Coturnix japonica: one gene and its partners. The protein of the gene in region 1 binds, or shares a complex with, the protein of each later gene. Links are inferred from orthologs where the notes say so. Each region holds a gene or a part of one and is shown in the gene's direction. Other genes may lie near its edges.

Region 1 (4,693 bases):
ATAAAGAATGCCCCTGTCAGGGCAACCGTAGGCCTTCAAAAAAGGAAGCCTAGGAAGCTTAGCTATTCTTTAAATATAAGTATGTTTTTTAGTGTGTGTTAAATTGTGCATTGCCAGATGGCAGTCTCTTTAAAAGCAGCTAATTTGCCTCAACCTGGAATTGATTAAGTGGCTGGAAAAGTCCTAATGGTTCTGTTGTGAAATAAGCAAGTTAGAGCCTATAGTGGTGTCTGGAACACAGGGCAAAGACACAAAAGGGGAGGGTCACTGCAGCCTGGTTGAGTTTGGGGAGCCAAGGGGCAGCTTATATGCAATTAATAAATGTTAGATTTCTGTGGATAAAGAATAGATTCATTCCCTTTCGAGTTGCCTTAGAGGTGCAGACTCGTTGCTAGTCTTTGTGAACAAAAGAAAGTTGAAATGGTGTATTTGTTTAGAAAAAAGCATTGAAGCAATTTTGAAAACATCTTTGTTATGGCTGCTTTCTTTCCTTACTCCGCCAGGGTTATCCATGTGAACTGCTGGCACTGACAGTGGCAGGGATTCCATCGATGCACATCTGTCTGGATTTCATACCTGAGCTCATTGCCCAGCCTGAACTTGAAAAACAGGTACTGTGCAGTCAGCTAGTCAGGGAATCACTGTACGTAGTTAACCACAATGTAGTATTGGTTAGGGGGAGAGAAGAAAAAGATCACTTGCTCTAACCTGCCCAGTATATTAACATAGTATCTGTAGCATATTTACCTTAAATTAAAGGCCCTGCCACCAAATCTGGGTGGTCTTATGATGGTTGTGAAAAAAAAACAGCAAAAAATTGTTGATTAGTTGTTCCTAAAGCAATGATAGATGTTTATTTGGTGTAGTGTGACATGGGTAGATTAGATATTTGTCTAGTCGTAGGTAGCTGGATATTTGGGAGCTAAAGATTCCACTGTTTTCTGTGTTAAACAAATTTCTTGTTTGCTTTTATTTAATCCCTTTTAAATACTGCTCATGAGATGGCGTTCAGCTGAAGTTTAAGCTAGAACACATGGGATATTTAACAGCTTTTACAAGGATTACATTGTAAATTGTTTGTTCCTTTGTTGCTTGTTGAGATGTTGGAACAAATTGTGTCTATGAGGGAGATTCTGAAAGCCAAACTGATGCCTGGCTAATGTTAAACATCTGTGTTGTGCTTTTTTTAATGTCAGCAGAAAAATTTTGCAATAACTATTCTTAAGGCTTCTCTTATTGTGAAATAGAGAATATTTACTAACTCCTAAGTTATGTGAAGAGCTTAGGATCATAATTGCAAAGCAATGTATAACTCGCTGTTTATTTCTTGTTTGCCTTTCACCTACTTAACAGATATTTGCCATCCAGTTACTCTCGTTCTTGTGCATTCAATATGCTCTACCGAAATCTCTCAGCGTGGCTCGTTTGGCCATCAATGTGATGGGGACCCTACTCACAGGTGAGCTGTTCTGCAACACCTGAAGTTAGATTTGTCAATTACGGTTGTACCAAAATACAAACAAGTTAATTATAACTGTAAAGGTGGCAAAACAATTCTTGACTAGATTTTGGTAATAGTTCCTTTTTACTTAACTATTTCCTTTTCCTCCATAGTTTTAACCCAGTCGAAGCGCTATGCCTTTTTCATGCCAACCCTGCCTTGTTTGGTGTCATTCTGTCAAGCCTTCCCTCCTTTGTATGAGGATATTATGTCTCTGCTGATACAAATAGGGCAAGTTTGTGCCTCTGATGTTGCTACGCAGACAAGAGACTTTGACCCAATAATTACACGTAAGTAAGACAGCTTGTATTTCACAAGTAATTTCATGGTGTTATAGATGTAATATAACTATTTATTTACATGTACTTTGTTTTTCTAACTTAATTCTTTTTAGGTCTCCAGCAACTAAAGGAGAGACCAAATGAAGTGTCGGGACTTTGTAAAGATTCGCCTTACAAAAGTTGTTCAAGGGACATTACAAGCGTGGACCCCGATGTTCAGTTATGCCAGTGTGTTGAGAGTACTATAATTGAAATAATTAACATGAGTGTAAGTGGAGTTTAGGAAGAATGCAAATGAAATGGTACTGTAGGTAGTCCCATGGCCTATGGTAACTGGATTTGGAGAGCGCAGCCAAAGTGGATTGAAGCACAAGTCTGTGTTTTCCATTCATCGAATTCAGTTATGGCTGAACCTTGTTGGATACTTCAGAGGGACTTATTCTGCTTGGTAAATCATTTCTAGTGAGAGTAGGCATGATTTTTCGGGTGTGCTTTGTTTCTGATTTGATACAGCAACACACCCACAATGGGTTTTGTAACACTGTGAGGTGAGGACTTCTTTTGTTGAGCAAAATGATGGGTAAGAAAAGTTTGATATCGGAGAGCTTTACTAGAACTGGAATGAACTACTGTTTCAGAGCCTTGTAGAGCAAGATGGAATAAAACCTTCCAAGGAACACTTGAAAAGTGATGTAAATTGCACCATCATGTTGATTACTAAGAAGAAACTTTAACCATTTTATTTGCCTTTTGAATCATTGGTCAGAGTGTGAATTAGTCACAGGACTGGGTTGAACTTGGCTGACAATTTGGGATCAGTAGCTTCAAAATGGATTAACTGAAAGATCAGCCGGCCTACATGGAAGGTTTGAAACCAGCCTTGATGTTTCTTAAACAGACAAACTACATGAAAACCCAAGCAAAAACCTCCTAGTGTAGTAGTCCAAACTGAACTGCAGCACAGATTATTCAGTATCTTTAAATCTCAGTTTAAAAGAGATGAGAATGTTGTTACGATTAAATGTTCAGATAACTGAAGTCATCGTAGGGATGAGATTAAATGAGCGTTGGAGGTGACTGTGACAGAAGTCACAGCAGTGAGATGGCTGACAGATTTCAGCCAGCCCACAGCAGTCACAGCTCAGAGAAGGGGAAGGAAGATCTATGTGTGTCTATGAGCTTTCATTGACGGCTGTGGGATCTTTTGGCCTTGATGGATGTATTGTAGCATTGCAGAGGAGCTTTATGGGGCAATTTACTTCAAGGTTGCACAAGCTTTGGTGTGAAGCAGCAAAGAGAGAGATATTATTGACCAGAACTGGATGTTCTTGACTTGCTAAGCTTGGCAGCCTATCTTTAAGGAATTATTGACAACATCCAGCATCTCTCATTAAGTAAAATACTGCTTTTTAAGCTAAAATCAGCTCATATTGCAGCAATAACGCTCTGATTGTTACTGTGGCAGCTCCTCCATCGCTGCCTTTGATCTCTGCTGGGTGTTAATGGAGGGTTATGCTGTATTATATATGTATATATGTGTTAATGGGAGGTTAATGCTGAGCTCCCACCGCCATTCCAGGCTCGTTTTGTGTGTGTAACCGTGTGGTAACACACCCATACTGAGTGTATTTTTTCTTATCATGTAATGTATGTAAATATATATTTTTTTCCTTATGATGTTGGGTTTTCTATGCGGTATTTAAATAAAGAATTTTAGAAAGAAAAAGCGGGTGATGGGGAGCAGTTCGGAGCTGCGCCGATTACTGAGGTGAATTTGGGGTTAGTCGGGGCGCTGTGTGGGGAGCCGCGTTGCGTAGCGACGAGTACAACGCGGAAGCCAGCAAGATCCTCCACGATTGGCTCTAAGGGTGAAACGGGGGCTTGTTTAGTATACGGCTTGCTGATTGGTGGCTCCCCGTCCTTTCCTGTCAGCTGATTGGCGGGCGGTGCCGAGGCCGCGCGGGAGGCGGGAAGGTCGGACGCTGACGGAGCAGTCGCCTCAGGTGAGCGGCAGCGCGGAGCCGCTCGTCGCTGTGTGCGGGGCCCTGAAGGGTTAGGGCTTTTTTCCCAGTATCTTTTAATTCAAAGCCTCAGCAGGACAAGGGGAAATGGATCTAAGTTGAAAAAGGGAAGATTTAGATTGGATGTTAGGAGGAAGTTCTTCACTAGGAGAGTGGTTAGGCCCTGGAACAGGCTGCCCAGGGAGGTTGTGGATGCCCCGTCCTTGGAGGTGTTCAAGGCCAGGTTGGACGGGGCCATGGGCAACCTGATGTAGTAAAGGTGTATGTTTGGTGGCCCTGCCAGGCAGGGGGTTGGAACTACATGATCCTTGAGGTCCCTTCCAACCCGGGTCATTCTGTGATTCTAAGATTCTATGAAGCAGGCTTTCCTTTATCATTCTGAGTAAGGGAAATTCAAGGTAACACGAGCAGAACAGCAAAATCAGTGGCAGCCCATTTACCCCTGGGTAACCATTAATGTAAAGATGGTATTGGTTTAAAACATCTTTTTAACATCAGAGCCCAGTTAGTGCTACCACTGCTTTCTTATAGCTATGAAACAAGCACTGCAGGCTTAACACTGTCACTGTAGTTAACATGTTGAAGTTCAAGCTAATGGGCTTCAATCTCCTAAAATACCTCTGCCTTCCTTCCCATGAGACTTGGGTTGTTATCTCAGAAATCCTCAGTTTGAGAAACGGACTCTAAAATGATGTGTGCATTTAATTCACAGTGCTTTTCTTCCTTTTTGTGCCCGTGTCTTTTATTTGTACTGCTCCTATTACTTATCAGATGGCGGTTCATTGTAACAAGTAAGCCAGAACAGAAGACACAAAGTCTAAGTTCCTGTATGTCAGTTTTGCTCGTGTCCAGAGCTTTCACCCCTTTTCCTGCTTGGTTTTGTTTGCTGT
Region 2 (6,408 bases), on another chromosome or scaffold:
TCACGATTGTCTCAAAACAAGAGCGCTTAAACATAAACATCCTCTTGCTTTTCCTTAATTAATATAGCTGCCACTCAAAGATAAAGTACATGAAAGTACATAACATACTTTCCTAAAGGCTGTTTTGCTGGGATAAACATACAAATCAAGATGGATACAATATCAGAACTACAAATGTGGAAAAAACAGTTTAGTAAAAGTAATTGAGGGAAAAATGAGAGAGGAGTTAGTTTTCTCTGTTCCATCCATATATATAATTTCTTAATCTCAAATCCTTTCCTACAGAACTTCTAGGAAGATGCAAAAATAGAGGTACAACTCATCAGCCTACTGATTAAAGATGTTCTGCTTTGAAAACTGGTAGATGAATGGGTTAACACTGTCGGTGTGAATCTTACTCCAACCCACTGAACAAAATGACTTCTTTCCAGTAGCGATGAGTAATAGATAGCAACTGTCAGTCTGTCCCAGAGACAGCAACTGATTGGAAATAATGACTTGTTGGTTATTGGTCTGCTCCGTACTCAACCCTATAAATGCCACAGCTGACACCATCCTATTAATCCATCCGCCTCCTTGGAGTTCAAAATTTAGCTTGAGATTTGGCCAGACAAATTCAACCGTTCTTATTCTCAGCTACAAAACTCTAACATCCAGAAGCCACACAAAGCACACACACCAACACTGGTGAACCTTGCTGAAGCAGGATAAATGTATCCTGTCCAGACCCTCATACTCCTTTCTCTTGACAGCCTTGTGACATTGGCAGAGAAGGAGAATATGCACGGAGCCCTCTTACCTTAACCCATAATGTTATTTACTTCTGCTGAGGCTGTCTCCTTTACAGTCACTAAGGAACTTGCATCTAAATTCCAGAGAAGTCCAAATAAAGATGTTAAATTGTACATCCTTATGGTGTTATTTTTTTAAGCTTTGCCCATGGATGTTATGAGGGTTAAGATTTACTTGTCACTTTGCTCAGATTTGCTCTTCCCTCTCCTTCTAACACTCACATCTAAATCTCCACTGCATTTTACCCACTTGAAAACAGCGGCTTTTGAATATTACAGTGCTGAAGCACTGAGAATTGTACTTTTCTAAGGAGGGGGGTATTCCCTCTCAAAACAAGATAGGAATGTATAATGATTAAACTCTCTTTGCACTAATGCAAACTCTCCTAAGACTGCACCTGGAAGAGGTTTGAAGTTGATCAGTACAGTGAGAAATAAGGAAGCAACAGCAGTAAGAGCTTCCTTGGGCAACTTTCTATTCTGTGTCAGCACGAGGTTTCCTGAAAGAGATGGAAACAGCGTGTAAAGTGATCCTCACTGATGTAATGAGTACTTTGTACTTACTGTATCATCATCACAGTCAAATCCTACCTATTCACCAGCTTAAGTGTACAGAAGAGCCGCAGACATTTCATTCATACTATTAAACACAGAGAATCACTCAACTTATCCTGTCATATTACTGTGTTTCTTTTTCTAACTTAGAAGATGAGCTGCCTCCAGAAAGAAATGCCAGGATTTTTTTTGCCCCTGTTTAGTCCTGAGCATATACCATGGGGATTTTATCACTTATTCTATTCCCAGACTCACAGCTGGACTCGCAAACATTTTATCAGCCTGATTTGTTTTTCCTTCCACTTTGCCAGATCAGTCCTAGGTATAAATGACAATAGCCACCCTCTTCTTCCATCTATCCATTCCTTAAAGCCCCATTTAACTTGCTGCTTTTTCTCCAGCTACACAATATACTTTTTTTTTTTTTCCACATAAGATATTTCAGATGGCCAAAAAGTAGCAATTAAGTTAACTTTGTTCACAGCTATGTAATTTCAAAAGCCAAATGGCAACCTGAATAAGTCAAGTCTAGACTTGGTTTCACCACAACCGCAGAGCTCGCAACACATGGAGTAAACACATAAGAAATACTAATCTCTTACTAGACATCACAAACCTCTTTGTCACAAAAAGATCATTCACTGACTACTCCAAACACTTATCTAGGAAATTGTCTTCTCCATTCTCAGACAGACAGTGAACAAATGACACACCACCTGCTTCTGAAATCCAGTCAGTGCAGCAAGATTTGGCTCAACTGTATTAATATTAGCCTCCCACAGGACATAAAGCAAAATAAAGCTATCTGGGACCAGTCTATAGATGACTTGTGTTTCCTTAAATTATTTCTTGTGAGAATATACTCATGGCCTTCTCTCACTTCAGAGAGCTGTACTCTCACACTGCCACATCACACTCCTCTTCCATATTTTGCTTTAAAAATTTCCTCCTGACAGCTTGTTTCCTTCCACAGAGATATTCAAGACCTGTCTGGACACCAATCTGTGCAGTTTATTGTAGGGAACCTACTTAGCAGAGGGTTGGACTTGATGGTCTCTTGAGGTCTCCTCCAAACGCTGCTGTTCTGTGATAATAAAGAATGGAACTAACAAAAACATTGTGCACCCATTTAATCACAACACCTTTCCTGGCACTCGTCCTTCTCTGCTTAGCCTGCATTCTGTGAGGGTTTCTATCCTACACTGGCCTTATTAATAGTAACCACTGCTAAAAGAAGGGAAGGGAGAAATCAGCTGAACATAAATAATGAACACCACAGGTTTTGCAACATCACTTAAAGATAAATAACACGGTTTGCCTTCGGTGTGAGCCCGTGTGAGGAAGCAGCACCGAGGGGCGAACCCCCAAGGCCGCCGATCCCGCGCTCTCCCTCACACACCTCCCGCCCCGCCCACCGCCGCGCGGGCCGATAAACAGCGCCCGGTCTCCACCAGCGCTGATCGATCGAGATCCATTTCTCCCTCCCTCGGTCGCTCCTCACCACTTACCCGACCCCGCGCACGATACGTCCCGGCCGCTTCCTCCCCGGCTCCGCCTCTTACCGTGTGCCCATGCGCGTCCCGCCCGGCTCCGCCCCAGCCGCGCAGCGCTCCGCCCTCCCGCCCGCGGAGCGAGCCGGAACGGGGGCTGTGTACCGGCTGAGGGCTCTGAGCGGCGGGTATTACCGTCTCTCCTCAGGTGAGAGCGTGGCGGGAGCTTCGGGGGGTGTCGCGGTGTCGTCCCCGGCCCTGAGGGTGGGCGTTGTGGGCGCCTGTGTGTCCTCCCACGGCGGAGCTGGAAGCGGCCGTACCCGCTGTCTGAGTGGGGCCGGCGGGTGGCCCCGGTGTGAGTTAATATGTGGTACAACGGGAACAGGGCTCAGTTAAACAGGCAGCTGTGGTGTGAGGAGGAGGTGGGCTGGGGGTGAGGTGAGGGGGAGGAAAGATAAAAGGATAATAGTTACAACTATAAGTACGTATATAAGACTGTGTGTGTATATATATATGTATGTAAAAAAACAAGCAATGCACAAACAAATTGCTCACCACGTACCAATCGATGCTGTGCTAGTTTCCAAGCAGCAGCAGCAAGCCTGAAGAACTCCCACCTTTTTCAAACTTGCCTGCTGTGGAATATCCATTTGGGTCATTTGAGGTCGGCTGTTCTGGTTCTGTCCCCTTCCAGCTCCCTCTAAAGCTAAAACATAGCATCATATCAGGTACTGTGAAGGAAAATAACTGTTTCCACTGATTCTAAGACAATTAGTTTCCCTCAGAGCTCATCAGTGAGCCCTCTGTTTCTGCAACAAGGAGAAGATGCAGAAGAGGGCTGAAGCATGGGTTGATTGCCTGGTAATCCATTGACCTGGATGGACTGTGTTCTGGTGTACCATTGTGAAGCCCCTTGCTTTTGTCTATGAGAAGTCATGAGGCTGGGAGAAATCACTGGGGGCTAGAAAAAGGCAGACTACATGTCTTACATATCCCTCCTCAAAAGAGGCAGGAAGGACTATCCAGGGAAGTGCAGACTGGTTAGCCTCCCTCCTTGCATCCATGGGAAGGTTATGAAGGGAGCCAGCACAGCATGGGCAGGAGCACGTGTTGACTGGGGATAACCAGCTTGGGAATCTACCAAGGGTCAGTCATGTCTGGTCAACTGGATTATCCTTTATGGCAAAATAACTAGCTCTGAAGTTGAGGGGAGGAGTGGAGAATATCATCTGAGGAGGGTCTTGCTGTGTCCTAAATAGACGCCTTTCTGTATCTAACAGGAGATTATTGATAAAATGAAGCCTGTATTTCCTTTTATGTGAAAGCACAATCTGAAAAGGGAGGATCCAATTTGGAATAAAGAAGTGAAAGGAGACAGTGAGATCCCTGTCTGTGTATGTTTTGAAGGTCCATCTGGATGGTGTCCTCGGAAATCTTGTCTGAATTCATAGCTGATTTTTTTCTTTTTGCTTTGAGCAGGAGGTCTCTTAGAAACAAAATGCCAGTGTATTGTGGTGTAATGCAGCAGGCAGCTCAGCACCACGTAGCCACTTGTTTGCTCTCTGCATGTTGGATGGGGGAGAAAATAAGAAACTTAGAAGTATGAGAACTTCTCTTTTATGGTTAGTATGGTTTACTCGGTAAAGCAAAATCTGCATGTGCAAACAACAAGAAATTCCTTTGCTACTTCCCATTGGCAGGCAGATCACAGAATCACAGAATGGCCTGGGTTGGAAGGGACCTCAAGGATCATGTAGTTCCAACCCCCCTGCCTGGCAGGGCCACCAAACATACACATTTACTAGATCAGGTTGTCCAGGGCCATCCAACCTGGCCTTGAACACCTGCAGGGACAGGGGCATCCACAGCCTTCCTGGGCAGCAGATGTTCAGTCACTTCCAGGAAAGCAGAGGTCATCACACATAACAGTTTCTTGGGAAGGCAAACTCCATCTCTCAGAATGTCATCTGCTCTTCCTCTTCTTGTCTCCCAGTTTTCATTGCTGAGCAGGATACCATATGGTACGAGCCATCCCTCTGGCTGGTCTGGGCCAGCAGTCCTGGTTCTGTCCCCTCACAGCTCCCTGTACTCCTCCAGCCCCCTCCAGGCAGGGCAGCATCAGGAGCTGAGATGTCCTCAGCTCTGCACAGCACTGCTCATCAACAGCTAAAGCATCACTTGTCAGTACTATTTCCATTTTGAAAATAATCAAAAACACAGGACGTGGTGAGTCACCGTGAAGAAAATTAACTATATCCCAGCCAAAACCATGGTATTCTGGTTGTTGGATACTATGTTGTTTATGAGTGATAGAAAGCAGAAAATAGAAGGTGATAGGGTAATGTAGAAATGTTAGATAAGCAAGTTACTGTGATAGATTGAATTATTGATTGGAAATTATGGTATAAAATATGTTGTAGGATAGAATATAAAGTTATGGATAGTCACGTTAGTAATTATAATGGAAGAATTTACTCAGGTCTCCTGGAATTCTTTGAATTTCACATCAAGTTGTCACATAAATAAGAACTGATGAATACAGTTGTTCTGATTAATACAGTTGTCGGGACTGCTAAAGTGCCTGAGTTTTGAAATATTCCTCACAGGCGATAACTGTGAAATTGTTGTCATGAATCAAATCCTCAGTATGATACGAAAGTAAAAACTGAAAATAGAAGCTTTTCCTGCTTTCCTTGATCTGTTTCATCAAGACCTGCATTAAATGTGAGTCATCTGGAATGGGCAGTATTGGTAAATACTTGAAATCTTCCACTGTCACAGTTGTTAGGGAATGGAGGTTCTAAAGGACAAAAATAAGTCCCTCTCTTCATGTATTTATTTTCTTTCTGTTAATGGTTGCTGTAGTCTGTGACATTATTACAATTTACCTGTGAGAACAGAAAGAACTGCCGCAATTTCACATGCAAGCGAAAGAACAAACATACAGAAAGCTGCTAAATGTGTCTGAATCTAACAATTACTTTATCGTAGTTGCCTTTAAAAAGCTAGAGCTCATAATAAACTGGGGAAGTGTTATCTTCCTGAAGAGAGAAATGGATTGAGCAGGCTTACACTTGTTTTCTAAACTCTATAACCACGCTGAATTGTTTGCTAAAGACTGCTGAAGCTACCTATTCTTTTCATGCACTTGCATGTATTCCCAGAAGATTCCTCAGAAAAGAACTTAAAGGATTTCTGTTTGTTGTTCCTTTGTCTTTAAGAGGGAATTAAGAATTATTCCAAGTTCCTGTGACTAGTGTCTTGGCCCTACTGTTTTTTATATGATGGAGGGTGTAGCATTCTGCATTTAAGGTTACATTGCACTCAAGCTTGGAAGCCAAATTCACAGAACAAAGCAATGTTAACTTAACCAAAGAGCTCAAGGACAGCCAGAATTTTTAATGCAGATAAATGCATTTATTAAAAAAAAAAAAAAAAAAAAAAAGTGGATTTTCCACACACATTGAATTCACTTTCTGTAAATGTTAGAGGGAATTGTCTGGATGGGGCTCACTCTGAGGTAGTCTATGTGATCAGCAGTAAAACAGTTACTGATGTATAGTACTTTGTAG
Region 3 (5,842 bases), on another chromosome or scaffold:
GTGTCATCTGCATATGTTACCACTGAAGCAGCATTGAATAGATTATTGATTGAACATATTGAATTCCACTGAGCCACAAAGAAGCTCTAGAAGAAAGCACAGTAGAAATAGTCCACTTCTTGCCCTCACTCTAATAACATCAGTGTGTTAAAAACTAACTCCCTAGGAGATCTTAAAACAGCTCACGCATGCCACATTCGTGCTGTACAGTGGAAGATTTTATAACTGTGTCACACAGTTGTAAATCAGATGTCTTAGGGAAAAAGCTAAAGACCTGTAACTCTCAGAAAATGAGTCCTTGACGAGTACTGTCTTTCATCGTGCCGTTGAATTCTGGGTTTTTTTTGAATCTTCAAAGCAGCAATTGCATTATATCACAAGTTCATGTTAAGACTAGCTTCAGTTATATTTTCACGTGTTTTAAATGTTGGAAGCCCTGTCTTAGACTTACAATTTCAACCTTAGGATTTGGGTATTGGAATTTTTCACTTTTCTGTGCCTACTTATGTCCTCATTAGTTGCTGTAGATTTGGTGCCATTTTGGATACTTAGAGCAAGAAATACATGTGTAGATTACATATATATGTGTGTGTGTGTATATGTAATGTATATGTATATATATGTATGCACATGTATATATGTGTGTGTAAATTATATGAACCTATTGATTCAAAAATACGTAGTTTGAGTAGTTGCATCCTCCTGACATTTTCAGAAACAAACAGTCAGATCTGTGTCATCCACACGGCCAGATGGGATGGAAAAGTTCTCTTCTAATAGCTTTTTAATTTACTGTTGTGCAGTTTCGTTGTGCAGCTCTAGCAGAGTGGTTTACTTAAGTTTTCTTAGTTTTTTACCCCAACATGTTTTAAAATGTCCTCTGGTTTGATCCTATTTGACTACTGATCATTCTTCAACTAGCTACTCGCTCAGTATTCTAATTATTCATTGCTATTTATTGCCTCTTTTTGCATTACTGTTTCTGGGCTTTGATTCAATGGCACTGGCACATGTGCTTTTAACTAGCATGGCTTCTTGCCCAGTGTGAGTTTTGTTTCATGTTTGGCAATTCATGACTTTTGAAGCATCCAACAAGATATTCTTATACAAGTATCATTTTTTGTTAATATTTCTCACTTAGATATTCCCAGGCAGCTACACTGACACTTGCTTTAGACTCAGTTAAATTGCCCCCTTGACAGTTCCTAACGTGTGTATCATTAGCTGATATTATTTTCTGTTCTCACAAGATAACCACATCATGACCAATGACTGATACTTAGATGTATCAGATTTTTAGGCTAGCAATTAGCTTTACCAGTCCAATGAGCTCCAGCACGGAGTGTTGAATACCATGATGGAAGCTCTACTTCCATCAGTAAAATGTTAAGGTCGTTATTTTTTGCTGTCTGCATGACAAATTTGGTCAGCCCTTCTCTCATTGCCACCCTGCCCCAACCAGGCTACACAGAGCAGGGTGCCCAGCACCATGACCAGGGGCTTTGGAAGATCCCCAAGTGCACAGCCCCTCTGGTTCCTGTGCACTGTGCACCCTGCCACAGTGAAAAACAAGCTGACATTTGTGATACCAAAACCTGGACATCTTGCCTTCTTTTACAAGATCTGATTAAAAATAAGAGATAATGGTTTTGCCTTGATTAAATTTGTTATAAAAGTCATGCAGTAATGTGTTCAGATGAAATAGTATTGCTCTGTAGCTTGATTAAGGTAAGTCTAATTGAGGGGTTAATTTTCATCAGATTAACTGAAAATACCAGGTGGGGGAAGGAAGGAGGGAAAAGAAATCTATAGCAGAATTAACTTTACTATAAGATCGCTTGTCTAGACTGGAATGTGGAATGAGAGAGGAGCTGGACCACCTTTATTCTCAGTAGCATTCTGTATTTTCAACATTTCTCTTTTCAGAACCAGATTTCTCCTATCTGGATGCTCTGGCTCCTTATCAGCCCTTGGCCATGAAATGTGTTTACTGCCCCATTGACACAAGACTGAATTTTATTCAGGTGTCTAAATTGCTCAAAGAAGTCCAGGTAATGAATTCTTGTTGCCTTTTCTTGTGTTTCTTCACACATTTGTCTGAAATAAATAAGTTGATTGTGACTTATATTAAATAATGGCAAAATAAGATAACACACACATTCTTTCTCTGTAAGAGAGACACAGAATGACACTTTCCTGTTATTCTTTCCCCTGCTTGTTTAAATTAGTGTCTCTGTGTCTGATACAGTCTTAATGTAAGATGTACCAAGTGTAGATCATCCTCTGTGCCCTCAGCTTTAACCATCTCCCCCACGCCTGTAACTGAATCCTGCACTTGATCCTTGCCTTGATTCTGGCGTCACTGCTTTGGAGTCCCACTCACATATTACTTGCAAGTTGACAGCTTTCCTCGTTCCATTTGCACAGTCTTTCCTTTTTTGTCTAGGAAGAAAGGCTGAGCTTTCAGGCTTTTCTTTTTTTCTTTGTGGCTTCTCCTTATCCATCCTATTTATTTCTACTGAAATTTGGTTTCTGACTCGTGGCAGCATTAAATTAACACCCCATATTTTTTTCTGGCTGAGCTTTTCCCTTGGATTTGTCTTCAGCTCATCATATGCAGAAATGCATGTTCTTCCAAACCTCTTAACAATGTCTGGATCATCTTATCTGCTCATTCTGTGACCTGGCTTGTCACTGCACAACTGGTGGAAATTACATTGCCTGTTTTTCTTCCTCCATGTAACTACTGAAATATGCTGTTTCCAAAGCATCTGGCAGAAACTCTGTCATATCCTGTGGCTTCCTTAAATCCTGTGGCGATCCCCGTGGTAATCAGCTTGTTTATGCTTTGTTAATGCATTGCTGACAGGTCGTGAAAACTCAGAGTTGCCTATTTTGCTAATGTTTTTGCAGTCTTGTGTTTTGACACGTTTGCCTCAGTGCCATTTTGTGATGGTCTGCACCACTGCTGTATTTGCTTCCAATTTAGATGACAAGCGTTTGGATGAGAATGCTATTGAGCATTTTGATTTATTTCTCTCCTTATGGCAGCTAACATGACTGCTGATATTGATGTAGTGATTACAGATATAAATTTAGGCCTTGTTACTGTGGGCATCGTCTGTATACAAAGCAAATACTGCTTGTTCCTTGGACAGTCGGTTTCAATCCTGATTGAATCTTCTGGATTTCATCTTTTTGATGTTGTTTTCATACAGTTAAGTTAGCGTGCTAACGTCAATCCACAGACCTCCTTATGGCAACCATTACCAATGTAGGGCAGTGTGCAGAATCAACCAGGCATTTCTGTAAGTCATCATAGTCCTCTTTTCCAGCCTCTCCATGTAGTTTGCCCGGAGCAGTACACTCAGCCACCACCCTCCCAGTCTCACCGGACAGATTTGATGATAGACTGTCAGCCTCCACCAATGTCCTACCGCAGAGCTGAGGTCCTGACTCTTCCCTATAAGCGACGCTACGAGAAGATCGAAATCATGCCAGAAGTAAGTAACAAAAGGTGGGGAAAAGATGTGGCTTCTGCTCATACTTCGAGCAGCATTGCAGTAGCCAATTTGACTAGACATATCCTGCATCTGTGACTTGCTGTTGATTATGAACACACATCAGTTTTTGTCAAATAGAGTGTTAAGAAAGCATTTTTGAAGGGAATTTCATTCTGTAAATCAAGAATTGGAGAAAAGAGGAATGTGATGGGCAAGTAAAAGGTGTCTTCAGGTTAATTGTCCTCTGCAAGGACACATCATGTCCTTGCAGAAGAAAGAGTAATCTGCAGAAGAAAGAGTAATCTCTGCTGGCCAGCTGTGAAGAAAACCAGTCAGTGCCACCTTAAATGTGAATATGCAGAGGCACTGCAGTTTGAAATAGTAGTACAGAGCTATGGAAGGGATTGAGAGAGATTGGAAGTTATTAGCCAGGACTTGTCTCTCTCCTTCCCCAGCTGTACCTGCTATGAGAAATACCCTTTCCCTTCAGGAGCAGTATTCAGCGGAATGTTAAAGACACTGCAGTAAAACGGCTCATTTGTGTTAGAACAATTTCAATAAATGGTTAATTCCTATGGACTCCTGAAGTCCGACAGGTAATGAGTTGCTTGTAGCCATCTATAATGTGGACTGTTTATGGCTGCACCATTCATTAATAATTTATTAAGCCCATACATTTTATACAAATGTGCTCGTAATACAAAGAGTGATCCATATTCTAGCAGATATGATATTAAATATATTTTTTTAACAATGCAGTCAGCACAAAGGCGTCCTTGGATCAAAGCTGACAGTGGCATTTACCAAGAAGGTGTTACTGCCCTCTGGATATTGAATATACAAGCGTGCTTTTCATCAGAGAGCCAGCATGCAGCCTACCTGCTGGTTTGCTTCCTCTGAAGCCATGGTTTTTTCCTTAAACTCTGAGGTTGTGAGTGAGGCTTTGTATGTGAGCCTATCCCTTGTCAGCCCTGTGAAGAGGATGGATACCAGCTTCTCTTGCAAACAGAATGCAAATCTGCACATATGCTACAAATGAGTATTTGCCAACTCTCATGCATTGTGATATTCTTAATAGAGGAGAGGGTTGTCTCAATCATAGCTAGGCTTGTGCATGGCTTTTGTGCTCTGTTGGAGACCTCCTTGATGATTTGCACAAGTCTAAATATAAAATGCAACTGAAAGTGGAAAGGGTGAGCACAAAGGCACTGAGTACTGCAGAGTTTCTGGGCAGAGTTTATTAGTCCAAAGGCACTGCTATGCTCATGGGGCTAAAGTGCATCAGAAAATGAGTCAGTGGTTCTTTTGCTGGGCTGGCTGTTTGCAGCAAGATCCCTTGCACTTGAGGCTTAGCAGGCTTTGTGGATTTGGCACCAGTAAGAACATGCCTTCAATTTCTCAACTCCAGATCTCCATTGGCTGTTATATGCCATCTCTCTGAAGTGAAAGGATTCTTTCTACAGACTGTAGTAAAAATGGCACATGGAAATAATAGCATTTCCCAAAACTGCTGGGATATCGGAGGGAGGGTGCATGGTAGACAGTGTGGTATTCACCAAGTTGGGAATGGTTATCAGAAAGCCTGCAGAAAAGCAAAGCAGTTTCTACTGCATTCACTTTAACTCAGAGTGTTCAAGCAGAAAGATACATATGTAAGAATATTGACAGAAACTGCCTCTTTTCTCCTCTGTCAAATATACATTCATGCAGGAGTCCTAGTTTCAAAGCTATCTGTCCACTCAGGGAGTGGAAACATCTCTTGTGATTTTCCACATCCAGGTATTCTCCCTGGGTTCCAAAGCTGGTCTTTTCAACTCAGTGCAACAAGCTGCTTGGTGTATAATGGCTCTCCTGAAAAGGTTAAGATGATACAAAAATAGATCAGAAGGCTGTTGTCTTGCCACACTGGGGCACAGTGGAAGGGAAGGGAAGTACTTCCTTCTCTTGGGGTGTTCTTTGAGAGTTAGAATGTTTGTGATGAGTGCAAGACAGTGATTCAGGGCTGCTGATAGGATACCATTCCCTAGCACTGAGGTATGCAGATCATCCTCAAAAAGAGATCTTGGTCATTCTTTCCAAGGGAACTTGTTAGAGGAGCAGTCATGCCGAATTTGTGGTGATCACAGACTGTACCTGAACAATCTTTTTTTCAGCAGGTGTTCATGACAGCCCTGTTTGAGGCTGATTTTTGCTTCCAGCTTGACCTGCAGTGAGGTGATAAGGCAGAGGAGGGTTGGCATGTTGTCTCCCACCCTTTCTCATTTTGGTCTCAATCTCAGCAGCATAGCTGAAAACTGCTGGGAAGTTTAACTACATAATCTCTCCTATTCTATGCAGCA
Region 4 (6,423 bases), on another chromosome or scaffold:
CAATTACCTTTCTTGTTGCATCTGGTGTCCCAAACCATGATGTTTCCATCTCTGCCTCCAGTACAGAAAACAGCTGAGAGAGAGAGAGATAGAGCACTATTAATTCCCAAGAGCTGAGGAACTGAATCCAGCACAATGCCATCTATGTGCCCCTAGAACTACAACAATCAGGCCTTTGGTGTTTTCTGTCTAGATTCTTTATGGTCTTTCCTTAGTGCTACTGTAGGAAAAAGTGCTTACAAAGAGTATTTCCAGATTTATGTTTGTAAGTGAGGACTGAGTGACTTCAATGCCATGTCTTAAAACTGCCTGAGATCAGAGACACGCAGACAGTATCAGATCACTGCAAGGTTCCAACACTACTTAGGTCACTGCTCAGCCCACCTGTACTTTGTGCAACCAACAGATTCCAAAGCCCTTTTTTAGCCCCGTAAGAATAGAAGTGGTAATTGGAGAGAAGAAGGGGGAAAAAAAGACAAGAAGAAATGCCAACATTTACCTTTCTCAAACCTCGAAAAAGCAACTGACTTGAGGCTACACTGGTGACCTTTGCATATGCCAAGCAGCTCCCCAGCTCTCACATCCCACACCTTGGCTGTCTGATCTCCTGAAGCAGTGACCTTCAGAGGATAGAATAAAAAGCTTTCATCATATTCTGCACGCCATTGCCAAAACATTAAGAATAAACTTAGATAGGAAAAGGCTTCTTACAATCCTGTGCTCTCCTGGTACCCAGGCAAGATCAAAGACAGCATTTGAGTGAGCCTGCCATTCTGACAAGAGAACAAAAGCCAAAATTAGTTCAGTGCATATGTCCAGTACAGCATGACAGTATTTTGCAGGAGGCTAACAAACATCAGACATCAGAATCCGAAAACAGGTTGCTCCTTTGTAGCTTCCCTCAGGCAAGGCAAACACTCAACCATTCAACTCCCATTGCTTTTGTAAGAGCACACTCACACGGCTGCTTTGTAAACAGGACTCTGCAAAGTATATAAAAAGATGCAAGTACTTCCCAGATTGAGTTTAAACAGCCTGCATAAAGCTTTCCTTGATTCCAGCGCATCCCATACTTCAAATGAAGATCACTGAACACTTACCCTTAAAGATCACTTTGGTGGTATTCTGAGCTTCAGTATCATACAGTCTGACAAACCCTTCTTCATTTGCAACTGCCAATATGTGCTCAAAATTTGGGGCTGAAAAGAAAATTGAAACGTAATCATCTATTACAAGGCTGATCCACAATTGTGCCTCTTCCCTTTGTGAGGGGAGTACAGGCACTTTAAGTGGGGTGCACACCTAATGGACAGCTAGAAAAAATAAAGTAACATTTACACAGTGATCTCCATTCTCAAAATGCACAAATATTGCCAAGCATTTATTTCTAGACATTCCGTTCTTAAACTGTAGTATATAGGAAATAGAGCGGGTCAAGGAGCAGCTTCTAAGACAATGCCCTCTTTCACCAGCACTGATGGAAGTTCCTTTCCTCTATCTTTATGACCTGTCCGTCCACTTGGATGTTTCCCAAGTGCTTTCCTTGGAAGTGAGATGGAGGAGCAGCCTTGGAGAAAGGCCTTTAGGGTCTGATTGCTGGATGGTCCTGCACGGAGCCAGGACTTAGACTCGATGATTCTTATGGGTCTTTTGCAATTTGGGACAGGTCAGCGATTCTGTAATAACCCCATGGCACAACCAGAGTACCACACAACAGCGCTCTGCCCTAAAGGTCTCCAAGACCTGCCCAGGGGCCCCGGGCAACCTGATCTAGTAAAGGTGTATGTTTGGTGGCCCTGCCAGGCAGGGGGGTTGGAACTACATGATCCTTGAGGTCCCTTCCAACCCGGGTCATTCTGTGATTCTGTGAAGACCCAACATGTAGGACGTGGAGGTGCACGTTCCCTGTTATCAGCACACGCTAACACTGAAGCTTGCCAAAAGATCTTGAAACATTCAACAGAAACGAGTTTACAGCGGGACCCACACACCGCGGCATCCCAGGATGCGGCCGTACCTGAAGAAAAGCTGCATCCGAAGGGAGGGACCGGCATTCCGATTTCTCCGTAGGAGAGGTGATCATCTTCCCTACTGCACCTATAGCCATCCAAGAGATGCTGCAGTGGAAGCGGTGAGGACTGACCTGAAACGAGACAAGCGGACCGTGACTGCACCGGCCACCGCGATCTGGGAAGCGAAGGGCCCGTGGGCCGCACACCCCGCTCCCAACTGCCGTGCGGGCTCCCTGTACGGCAGCCCCCGGTGCCCGTAAGCTCGGTACTCACGGTACTCGCGGTACTCACGGTGCCCGGCGGCACGGCGGAGCAGCGCGCGGCACAGCATGGCCGAGAGCGCGCGGAACGCCACCAAACTCCCGCCACCGACCGACCCGCCAAACGCACCTCCACTCCCTCATTGGACAACCCGTGGCGCGCCGCGCCGCCCTCTCTCCGCTCGGATTGGTCAGCGGAGGAGAGGCGGGGCGGGAACGGCTGTTGGCGCGCGTAGAGGAGTGCGCGTGCGCCGCAGGGTCGGTGTGGCGGGAGGGTGGCCGCGCATGCGCGCTGGGCGGCAGCGGGGTTCGCGATGGCGGCGGCGGGGAAGTCGTTCCTGGCGGACGCGGGGTACGGAGAGCAGGAGCTGGACGCCAACTCCGCCCTCATGGAGCTGGACAAGGGTGAGGAGCGGGATGGGGGAGCGCGGGGATGGGGTGTCGAGAGAGGCCCGGTTGGTGCCGCTGTAGCAGTGAGCGTTGTGGTGCTCTGTGCAGGCCTGCGGTCCGGTAAGCTCGGCGAGCAGTGCGAGGCCGTGGTGCGCTTCCCGCGGCTCTTCCAGAAGTATCCATTCCCCATCCTCATCAACTCCGCCTTCCTGAAGCTGGCCGACGTGTTCAGGGTCGGGTGAGTACCGTGCTTTAGTTCCGCTAGAGGCAGTTCTGTGTAGGTGCCTTCGGAATCGTAACAAATAAATGAATGGCCCAATTCTGCAAGTCCCATCTGTGAGGAAAGTGAATGCCTCAAGTTGAGCTTTTCCGTGTGCCCTGTGCCGAACCGAGCCGGGTCTGCTGTGCAGCTGCTCTCAGTAGCACACAGACAGTGAGCCAGCAGTGCGCTCTGGCAGCCCGGAAAGCAAATGGGATCCTGGGCTCCATCAGGAGAGGGGTGGTCAGCAGGGATAGGGAGGTGATTGTCCCTCTCTACTCGGCTCTTGTGAGGCCCCATCTGTTGTACTGTGTCCAGGTGTGGAGCCCTCAGTACAAAAAAGACATGGAGATTTTGGAAAGGGTCCAGAGGAGAGCCACGAAGATGATCAGGGGGCTGGAGCACCTCCCCTATGAGGACAGGCTGAGGGAGTTGGGTTTGTTCAGCCTGGAGAAGAGAAGGTTGCAGCCTTTCAATACCTGAAGGGAACTTACTCCCAGGAGGGGAGTAAGCTCTTCGAAAGGGCTGACAATAGCAGGACTAGGGGAAATGGTTTTAAGTTAAAAGATGGAAGATTTAGGTTGGATGTTAGGGAGAAGTTCTTCACTAGGAGAGTGGTTAGGTCCTGGAACAGGCTGCCCAGGGAGGTTGTGGATGCCCCGTCCTTGGAGGTGTTCAAGGCCAGGTTGGATGGGGCCCTGGGCAACCTGATCTAGTAAAGGTGTATGTTTGGTGGCCCTGCCAGGCAGGGGGTTGGAACTACATGATCCTTGAGGTCCCTTCCAACCCGGGTCATTCTGTGATTCTGTGATTTGTTGGACCCACATTCATTGTATGTTATTTGTGCTGTGAGGCAGTAAGAAATTTGTCACTTGTGCTACATATAGCAGTGCGTTCATATTCTATCCTTAACTGGTAGCCTGCTTGAGCCATTTCTAAAGCACAGAGCTTCTTTGTTGTGATTAAATATGTTTTTCGTAATGCATTTAGTTTAGAAGTTTTTGAATCTGTATTATCAAACAGCTCAGTAAAGATAAACGTGTGTCTTCTGATAGGAACAACTTCCTGAGGCTGTGTGTGCTGAAAGTTACGCAGCAGAGCGAGAAGCACCTGGAGAAGATCCTCAACGTGGATGAGTTTGTGAAGAGAGTTTTCTCAGTGATTCATAGCAATGATCCTGTTGCTCGGGCTATCACGCTTCGGTAAGTAGCACAGAAGTGAACCTAACTTACTTCAAAGCTGTAGCTCTTTTATTGGTGTGCTAATCTGTTCTAACAAAATCAGCTACTTCTCAGAGTGTAGGAGCTGTCTTCCACATTCATCATAAAGGCAAAAGCGGGGACATCTCATAGGGAGTGAGCAGGAGATGTGTAAGTGGAAGAACAAGGTTTTTGCATGCTTGTATTTGTGATGTGAGAGTTGTGCAGATGGCTCCAGGTGAGATGGGAATCCAGTGGGTAGAAAAAACCACACTTCAAGATATCTTTAATGTTGCTGTCCTGCTGCTTTGGTCTCTGTATCTCTAACAGTACCCAGCATTATAATCTTTTCTTCATCTTCCTTCAACTCCTGTGTGACTGAATTAAAATGTGAACAGAGCACTCCTTCTCCCTTGCTTATTCATTTCTCCTATCTATTCAGAACTGTTTCTGTTCTCACTGTTGAAAGATGAGAGTCATTAACAGAGGTTTGGTTTATTATCTCACACACCCATTTCTTTTTATATTTTTGAGATTATGGTTTTATGCTTTAGGATCTCAAAAAAACAAATGATGAGAGACTGATGTTTGTTTGCTTCATTATAGTCACTCTCTAGAATTTTCCCTTTCTTAGTATGTAGTTAATTTTGACTTCTCAGACATGTATTGATTCAATTTGAAGATTTAATGGGAAGAATAGAAAAGGTAGAAACAACTTTGTAAATGCTATTTTAATTCTCCTAAACTACCAAAATGACTGACTTTTAAATCGCATGATATATATTGATATATATTTGTGTATGCGTGCAGTAATGCATTTTAGCATTAAATCTGTTGCGCTGATATCAGAGCTTGGGCACAAAAGTGTCTTTAAAAATGGTGTACCCCATGCCATGGTGTGCTCCTCACTTTATAACAATTGTTTTCCACTAATGATACTCCAATATGGTTACTTTTTTGTTGTTTGTTTTCATTAAATGACTAACAGAAGGCTGATACCAGCATAATCATGTTTTAGCAATATGCCTGCTGTCAGTGTGTCTTTGTTTCTGTAGTGAATGTAAAAGAGCCCTCATTTATATAAAAGCCAAGACTTTAAGCCAGTCCTTCTGTGCTTCCCTTTGATTTCATCTTGCATTACTTCATAGTCAGTCATTGTGCTTGCTCCTTTTCCTGATCTGTGTCTGTAGGATGTTGGGCAGCATGGCGTCTATCATTCCAGAAAGGAAGAATGCACATCACAGTATTCGCCAGAGTTTGGATTCCCATGATAATGTGGAAGTTGAAGCTGCTATTTTTGCTGCTGCCAACTTTTCTGCACAGTCAAAGTAAGGTGGAATTTTTTTCTCCCCCGTTTTTCACATTGCAAAGAATAACAGCTCCACTGTTGCTTACTGAACTTAGTATTTTCTTCAGTGGTGGTAGAACATCCTTCACAGCTGTTATATGTCATGATAATAAGTGTAAGGAAGTCTGAATTCGAGTCTAAAAAAACCTATGAAACTTATTTGAAAGCTTCCATTTTATTATTTGATTATGCACCTGTGTAGGGATTCTAAAATAACTAAGTTTTGGCAAGCATTCTTGTGGTGGTTTTTATTATTAAAATTCATTGTTTGGTTCTTCTGTTGATTTTTTTTTTTTAGCCTGTTTGCTTTCATTTCACTTGGTGCTTTGTCTTTTTCTCTACAGGGACTTTGCTGCAGGAATATGTAACAAAATCAGTGAGATGATTCAAGGTATGTACAAATACTGAGTGATGATATCCAGGGCTTCTTTTTTATACATAAGTATATAAAATACCTCTATACCATTGCCCTTACCCCAAATAATGTGTGTCTTAGTACCAGAAAAAGCCAGTACAATAGCCTGACAGTGTCTCTGTTCCCTGTTACAGGTTTAGCCACACCTGTGGACTTGAAATTGAAGTTGATCCCTATTCTACAGCACATGCATCATGATGCTAGCCTGGCCTCCAGCTCCCGGCAGCTGCTTCAGCAGTTGGTAACATCATATCCTTCCACCAAGATGGTCATTGTTACTCTGCACACGTTCACTCTGCTTGCTGCTTCTTCTTTGGTTGACATTCCTAAACAGGTAATTCTTCTTTCAAATGAATCTACAAAGCATGTTTAAAACAAAACAGGGATTATTGAGGATAAACTGTGATCTTTATCTTGAAAGACTGAGTCTATTGCTACAGCTTATGTTTTTAAACCAAGTCGTGAGAAAGCATTGATGAGCAAAATATAATGCTTTTATGTTTAGATAATGGGCTTTGTGATTATGATTCATATAGCAAG
Region 5 (5,842 bases), on another chromosome or scaffold:
ATTGGATTACTGCACCTGCAGCTAAATTCCTGTAGGCATCAATTGGAATTCCCAATTGAACCTTCCCTATGCAATGAGAGGGAGCTACATATGCTTATAGTGTTTCAAAATTTGTATTTCCTGACTTTTATGTCTACGTAGTGCCAGAACTTAACATCCTGTTTACTTGAGGATTTGTAGTTACATCTTTTTTTTTGCCCCTGATCCACTGTGGATTTATCTGATGTAGCCCTACCTCAAAACTGTTTCATGTAATGTAGATGGTACAATCAAGGCATTCTTAAATGTATGTGAAATTCTGCTTATGATTCTGTTGATACATCAACGTGTTAATGGCTGCTCTCACTGCTCTGAGGTAAAAAATAGTTTTGCTGTCCAGTCAGAACTTATTGGACTACTCAAGTCTTAGCATTCAACTTCTTTTGCAGCCTTTTTATTCTTAGTATAACTGCTTCATGGCTTGGTCAGAAACTCCGCCACAACTATTTATTGGAGGCATCTTCTTTCAAGAGAATTGCAGTTCCTTCAATTGAGTGGGCCTCCTGTTTTGTGTGCACTTGGACAGTACACCTTCCTCAGAGTGGAGATACTCAAGGCAAGACCAGCTCTGTGGACAGATAACATTTGGCTGGCTCATCCTAAAAGGAAGAGACTAAAGTTTATAAACTTGTAGGAAAAATTACTTTCAAGGTGAGGTGGTAGGAAGGTCCAAGAAACCATGTATTTCCATAGCTCATCTTACGTATTTATTAGTTGACTTCTTGTAAAGGGACTAAATGGAAGGAGACTTCCCAGGTGTGATCTTCCTCAGATTCTAGTAGCCTTGGAGGAGGTTATAGGTAAGTATAAAAGCTTTAGTTCCTCTCCTGAAGGTCCTTCAAAGTAAGGCATATGGTTCCAACTTTTTTCACGTTTGCCACCTCCTTATTCAGCAAAAGAAATGTCAAACATTATCAACTCATATCTGAAACTTGAGATTGAAAGGTGTTTTCCATGTAATTAATAAAAAGATTACAGTTAAATTGCCCAAACTGAAAGTTTTCACAATTGCAGTTGAAATGTGAGTTGCTGTAGACTTTTCTTATATGAGTCACTGTAATTCTGTTTGAGATTTTTAAATATAAAATTTGCCCAGAAGGAGACATGCTGTTAAAGAGAGCAAGTCAACAAATATGAAAGTACAAAGTTTAGTTCTGCCAGGTCAAAGTGGGCATGCCCCAAAGTAGCACTAAAGTCCACACAGGGCTTTACTTCCATTGGTAGTGTTTTTGTGTATACGTAAGAAATTTTACTGTTGTAGACTTAGTAGGTAAAATGAGCAGTATTTAGAAAATCAATTTCCATCCGATTTCACAATAGTGTCAGTGTCAAATTATGTGCTTAGGAAAGTATGAATTCTGTATTCAGTAGACTCCTTAAATGTTTGTTTTCAAAGAATCTATTATTTTATTTATCATAGTACAAAGAAGTTACTGTATGCAGACTTATTAACAGTGGAATGCTTATGTTTAGCCACCCCGCACTTCTCATCCTGTGGTGAAATTCTCCTGCACTGACTGTGAGCCGATGGTCATTGACAAACTGCCTTTTGACAAATATGAGTTAGAGCCTTCACCACTGACCCAGTTTATCCTGGAAAGAAAATCTCCTCAGACCTGCTGGCAGGCAAGTAGAATACGTACTTAATTGAAGTCTCTCTAAAGCTATTTGTCATGTAATTTATTCTAGAATCAAATTAGGATGTAAAACTTTAAATTCACAAAATATGTAAAAATATGCTTAACTTTTAATGTGTTTCATTGCAGGTGTATGTGAGCAATAGTGCAAAATACAGTGAACTTGGTCATCCTTTTGGTTACTTGAAAGCTAGTACAGCCCTGAATTGTGTGAATTTATTTGTGATGCCTTATAATTATCCAGTTCTTCTTCCACTGCTAGGTAAATACCAGTCCATGAAATCTTCAAGTAATAAGCAACTGAAAAATTGATTTGATCTGAAGAGTTTTATCCAGCTGGTGACAGTATTAGTCACAGCCATAGAAAGATAGAATGTTTAGCAATTATATCAATGGCAATGTTTATTTCTCTTGTAAACAATTGCATGATTTTCATGACTTGTGCCCAAAGTGCAAGAATAATTTTTGTAATCATTATTCTTTTGGATATGCAGTAATCTCACTTCTTTTATTTCGGTAGCCATTATTCTCAATTTGTCATCTCATTTATCAAATTGATAACTGGTCAGGTTCCATCTTTTGGCTGCAACTTTAATCTTTTGTGTATATTTAGTTTAGTTGTATATATGTTAAAATAATATATTTAAGCATTAAGGATTTAGTATTTTCTTAGCATTTGTTCTATTAGGAAAAAAATCGTAGGCATGTCTTTTATTGTGTCTCTGTTTTTCATAACCATCAGATGACTTGTTCAAAGTACACAAGGCAAAGCCAACGTTAAAATGGCTACAGTCATTTGAAAGCTATTTGAAGACAATGCCTCCTTACTATCTTGGGGTAAGATGACTTGATTTTCAATTTTCTATTTTATTAAGCAGCTATAGTCACCTTTCCAGTGTGGGTGCTTCTTTTTTCTATTCTATTTCAAGTAGAATATGTATTTTTAAGAAAATAACTGAACTTTTATATATAGTAATACTCTTTCCACTGTAGTCCTGTGAGAAGGCTTGAAATTTGAATATAGCAACAAAATTCAACAATTGTAACTAATTTCTGTTTGTGACTGATTCAGTGTGAGTGGAATAACACTTATAAATAACAACAAAAAAAATCTGCCCTGAAAAATCTGACATTTGTCCTTAAAGACTTCAGGTCCTCTTTGAAATGGTTACAGTTACTTAAAGTATATATATAACCCTTGTAAAGTTAAATGTGACTGTGCAATATATTCCATGTTTCAGCCTTTGAAGAAAGCTGTGAGAATGATGGGAGCACCAAACCTTATAGCTGACAATGTGGAATATGGACTTAGTTACAGTGTCATTTCATATCTCAAAAAGTTGAGTCAGCAGGTAATGTTGAAGCACAAGAGCAGTAAAAACTTGTAATATCAGGATAATATCTTAAAATACTCAAGTTCAAGGGTTTTCAAGGAAAAAGAGCAGGAAGATCAAGTTAATGCCTTTCTATAAGCAATTAATAAGGAAGTATTTTGGTTCTGTGAAGTGAAAGAAAACATTTAAGCATAAACTTTAGAGTGGACTGTATAGATAGATATGGAGGTACCTATTAAGATCTCTTATATTTAAGGAACATTTTTACATGTACAGTTATAGTAGCATATTTTTGTCCAAAAGAAAACATGTTATCTTAAGTCAAAGCTGTTGCAGCATTTTTTATTTTTTTTTCAGAAAACAGGGATTTGTACTTAGATGTATCTGAATCAGAAAGTGACTTTTGAAGTGGAAAGTGTTCAGTAAATAAAAACTGAACTGACGTATTAGAGATTCTGAATTAAGCATACAGACTAAAGTTGCAAGTGACCTTCTGTAAAGTGATGAAGTTGGTCATGCTGTTCAGAATAGTGCATGTATCTTGTCTAGTCCCCTGCACCAGTTAAGGCATTTCTGCCCTGCTGCTTTCACTTTTATTTTGTTGAGCTGTGCATGTTAAGCTTTCCTGCTCAAGATCATGAGAGCACACAGTAGGCTTGAAACTTTAATAGTAGTGCAAGTACTTCTTACATAGCTATCAAGTTCTTATAGAACAACTTTTATTTAAAAAAAAAAAAAGATATAAGCCAATTATTTGACAGGGGAGCAAATTTGAATTCTAGAGTATATCTTAGCAAATCATGGTCACGTTGCTCAGTGTTCTACTAAATGAACTAATCTCTCAATGTAGGCTTTGTAGATGCCTAAGATGCAATGACAGACTGCAAATTGGTACATAAAGCTTTTCTCACTTCTGAAAGATTTTAGCAGCACAGACACAGTGTTCTTAAGTACAAATTCAGATTCTGATTAGTCTGTAAATTTAGGGTATAAAACTGCAAAGCAAACATTGGCAAATTGTCTTGGCAAATTACTTCTAGCTCTTTGTTCAACTGCATTCTGCCCAAAAGTTGGCATTTATGAACATGTTTGATTTTGGTACAAATCTAACAATGCTGGGGGTGAGGTCTGTCTGATCAAATAGGATTAGGTATTTTCATGTGTTTCCTATTTTTGTTTAATGTTGTGACTGTCTGTTGAGCTTTTAGGAAGCTGATGCCATTGTATGACTGATCACAACTATAGTTGTGGGAGAATCAGTCTTGAAAGCTTGCATTTAGCTCTTGCAGCAGAAAACAGTTTGAGGACAGATAGAGAATTGCCAGTTAAATTATGACTTATGAAAATAAAAGCATTGCATGCATCTTGGTGCTTAGTAATGGGCAGCAGAGGGAGAAATATGCAGAAAACATAGGCACAAAATGTTCACTATATTTGAAATTGTAGTAGACATTAAGTGGTTATGTACTAAGCACTCCTTAAGCACTCATCCTGGTTATGGTCGTCATAGTGTATTAGCACATTGTTGAATCTTCTAGGTAGGAATTTAAAATGAATAAGTGACTAATTCTTTTAAGAGCATATTGTCAATTTTATTTATTTATTTATTTTAAATTAAGGCCAAAATAGAGTCCGATAGAGTCATTGGCTCTGTAGGCAAAAAGGTAGCGCAAGAGACTGGAATTAAGGTCAGAAGCAGATCACACAACCTGTCTATGGCACATAGGAACGATTTTCAACATCTGCTACAGGGGATTACTGGGGAAATTCCTCATAGACCTCTAGACTTCAATATGAAGGAGTATGCTGGGTTCCAAATAGCTTTGCTGAATAAGGTAAGCACCACTGTGTGTAATGTTGTTATTTTCAATATACTACCATTGAAATGCTAGATATTGTTTCATACGTTGTGTTAATTGAAACTTTAATTACTGAAACCATAGGACTTGAAACCTCAAACTTTTAGAAATGCTTATGATATACCTAGAAGAAATCTTTTGGATCAATTAACACGAATGAGATCTAATTTACTGAAGAGTACTCGGAAGTTCCTCAAAGGACAAGATGAAGGTTGGTTGAGCTTTTTTTTATTTTTTATTTTTTTTTGCCTTTACATGATATCACTTTTATTAAATTTTGAAGACTCAACAAATATTTATTCATAAAAGCTTAGCAGCCATCTGCCATTAAACTTGACTTTGTTCCTTAGCTAATTGGAAGAAAAGCAATTGGGGACAGAAAGGATATAGATTCACCACTCTGTCCTTTAGTCTGAGGAGATTTGGACTTTTACTTACAGATTTTGTTCGCTTATTTTTTTCACCAGCTTTCATGATGTATCTAAGAAAATTTGAGGGGATTTTTGAACATTAAGACCTTTTTCCATGTAAGAAGTGTTTTGTGAATAGTGGAAAGATGAGCTTACTCACTAGGTGCTGTCAGTGTGATTTTTTTGCCCTGTAGGTCAACAGCAGTTGTATGATTGTTTCATTTTCACTTTAAGTTGTGTTTTCTGACACTATGTTAGGGCATCTAACAAACAGAGGTGATGAAAAAAGTGGAGAAAATGGATAATGCAAGTAAAAGTGTATTTTGCATTGTCATTTGGTCACAGATATTAATCTGACTTAAGTAGTGACAGAAAATCATTTGAAATACAAAGAAGTTGCTGTTTGACAAAGGGGTTAAAACACATCAAAACTTACAATTGTTTTCCCTGCTGTTTTTGGTAGCTTATATTCTGCTTGAGAAAACGTTTAGCAAGTTTAAGTTTTCAGGTCCTGTAGATTTGAAAATTCTGATTCCAGTGGCAAAAAAATTTACTGTTGCTTC

What was found.
Region 2: INTS2 (region 1) and INTS12 share a complex: the UniProt entries of both Homo sapiens proteins name them as parts of the integrator complex. The link is inferred for Coturnix japonica from reciprocal best matches to the Homo sapiens genes INTS2 and INTS12.
Region 3: INTS2 (region 1) and INTS9 share a complex: the UniProt entries of both Homo sapiens proteins name them as parts of the integrator complex. The link is inferred for Coturnix japonica from reciprocal best matches to the Homo sapiens genes INTS2 and INTS9.
Region 4: the proteins of INTS2 (region 1) and INTS7 are in contact, whole or in part, in a cryo-EM structure (PDB 8RC4), measured with the Homo sapiens proteins. The link is inferred for Coturnix japonica from reciprocal best matches to the Homo sapiens genes INTS2 and INTS7. Residues at the interface, in NP_065799.2 of Homo sapiens: Gln27, Lys28, Val29, Cys48, Arg51, Met52, Cys55, Ala56, Ala58, Asp59, Gln60, Ser61, Trp64, Phe92, His93, Ala186, Glu187, Pro189, Ile194, Val218, Asp220, Ser221, Asn223, Glu224, Ser259, Leu262, Lys263, Arg265, His285, Gly294; in NP_056249.1 of Homo sapiens: Leu38, Gly39, Glu40, Cys42, Glu43, Val46, Arg47, Asn77, Phe78, Leu81, Cys82, Leu84, Lys85, Gln88, Gln89, Asn114, Asp115, Pro116, Val117, Ala120, Ile121, Arg124, Val153, Glu156, Val159, Phe160, Ala163, Leu195, Lys196, Pro199.
Region 5: the proteins of INTS2 (region 1) and INTS6 are in contact, whole or in part, in a cryo-EM structure (PDB 8RBZ), measured with the Homo sapiens proteins. The link is inferred for Coturnix japonica from reciprocal best matches to the Homo sapiens genes INTS2 and INTS6. Residues at the interface, in NP_065799.2 of Homo sapiens: Ile855, Asp856, Pro857, Leu858, His895, Arg923, Glu925, Leu926, Lys927, Ala929, Leu930, Ala932, Ala933, Gln934, Ser936, Ala937, Gln940, Ile941, Glu944, Asn1010, Lys1013, Leu1014, Phe1017, Gln1018, Gly1019, Tyr1020, Pro1021, Ile1046, Ala1047, Gln1048; in NP_036273.1 of Homo sapiens: Ile484, Val486, Arg487, Ser488, Arg489, Phe527, Gln528, Val529, Ala530, Leu531, Leu532, Asn533, Phe541, Arg542, Asn543, Ala544, Tyr545, Ile547, Arg549, Leu552, Leu553, Leu556, Met559, Arg560, Asn562, Leu563, Leu564, Lys565.

The regions. Positions count from the first base shown.
Region 1 is NC_029534.1:6,231,835-6,236,527, forward strand, and holds the end of INTS2 (integrator complex subunit 2), read left to right. Parts: intron 1-503; coding exon 504-611; intron 612-1,353; coding exon 1,354-1,459; intron 1,460-1,614; coding exon 1,615-1,791; intron 1,792-1,895; coding exon 1,896-2,065; 3' UTR 2,066-3,456; downstream 3,457-4,693. UniProt on the Homo sapiens protein: Component of the integrator complex, a multiprotein complex that terminates RNA polymerase II (Pol II) transcription in the promoter-proximal region of genes.
Region 2 is NC_029519.1:34,242,249-34,248,656, forward strand, and holds the start of INTS12 (integrator complex subunit 12), read left to right. Parts: upstream 1-2,832; 5' UTR 2,833-2,917; coding exon 2,918-3,044; intron 3,045-4,341; exon of another isoform or gene 4,342-4,458; intron 4,459-5,455; exon of another isoform or gene 5,456-5,560; intron 5,561-6,408. UniProt on the Homo sapiens protein: Component of the integrator complex, a multiprotein complex that terminates RNA polymerase II (Pol II) transcription in the promoter-proximal region of genes.
Region 3 is NC_029518.1:96,766,872-96,772,713, reverse strand, and holds part of INTS9 (integrator complex subunit 9), read left to right. Parts: intron 1-1,926; coding exon 1,927-2,051; intron 2,052-3,335; coding exon 3,336-3,503; intron 3,504-4,262; coding exon of another isoform or gene 4,263-4,403; exon of another isoform or gene 4,404-4,916; intron 4,917-5,842. UniProt on the Homo sapiens protein: Component of the integrator complex, a multiprotein complex that terminates RNA polymerase II (Pol II) transcription in the promoter-proximal region of genes.
Region 4 is NC_029518.1:19,450,236-19,456,658, forward strand, and holds the start of INTS7 (integrator complex subunit 7), read left to right. Parts: upstream 1-2,538; 5' UTR 2,539-2,586; coding exon 2,587-2,677; intron 2,678-2,770; coding exon 2,771-2,900; intron 2,901-3,976; coding exon 3,977-4,123; intron 4,124-5,310; coding exon 5,311-5,448; intron 5,449-5,812; coding exon 5,813-5,859; intron 5,860-6,017; coding exon 6,018-6,217; intron 6,218-6,423. Other genes in the region: DTL (denticleless protein homolog), read right to left, coding at 8-73, 500-620, 712-773, 1,101-1,199, 2,018-2,143, 2,286-2,343. UniProt on the Homo sapiens protein: Component of the integrator complex, a multiprotein complex that terminates RNA polymerase II (Pol II) transcription in the promoter-proximal region of genes.
Region 5 is NC_029516.1:152,146,406-152,152,247, reverse strand, and holds part of INTS6 (integrator complex subunit 6), read left to right. Parts: intron 1-1,512; coding exon 1,513-1,665; intron 1,666-1,805; coding exon 1,806-1,938; intron 1,939-2,418; coding exon 2,419-2,513; intron 2,514-2,917; coding exon 2,918-3,028; intron 3,029-4,629; coding exon 4,630-4,845; intron 4,846-4,953; coding exon 4,954-5,080; intron 5,081-5,842. UniProt on the Homo sapiens protein: Component of the integrator complex, a multiprotein complex that terminates RNA polymerase II (Pol II) transcription in the promoter-proximal region of genes.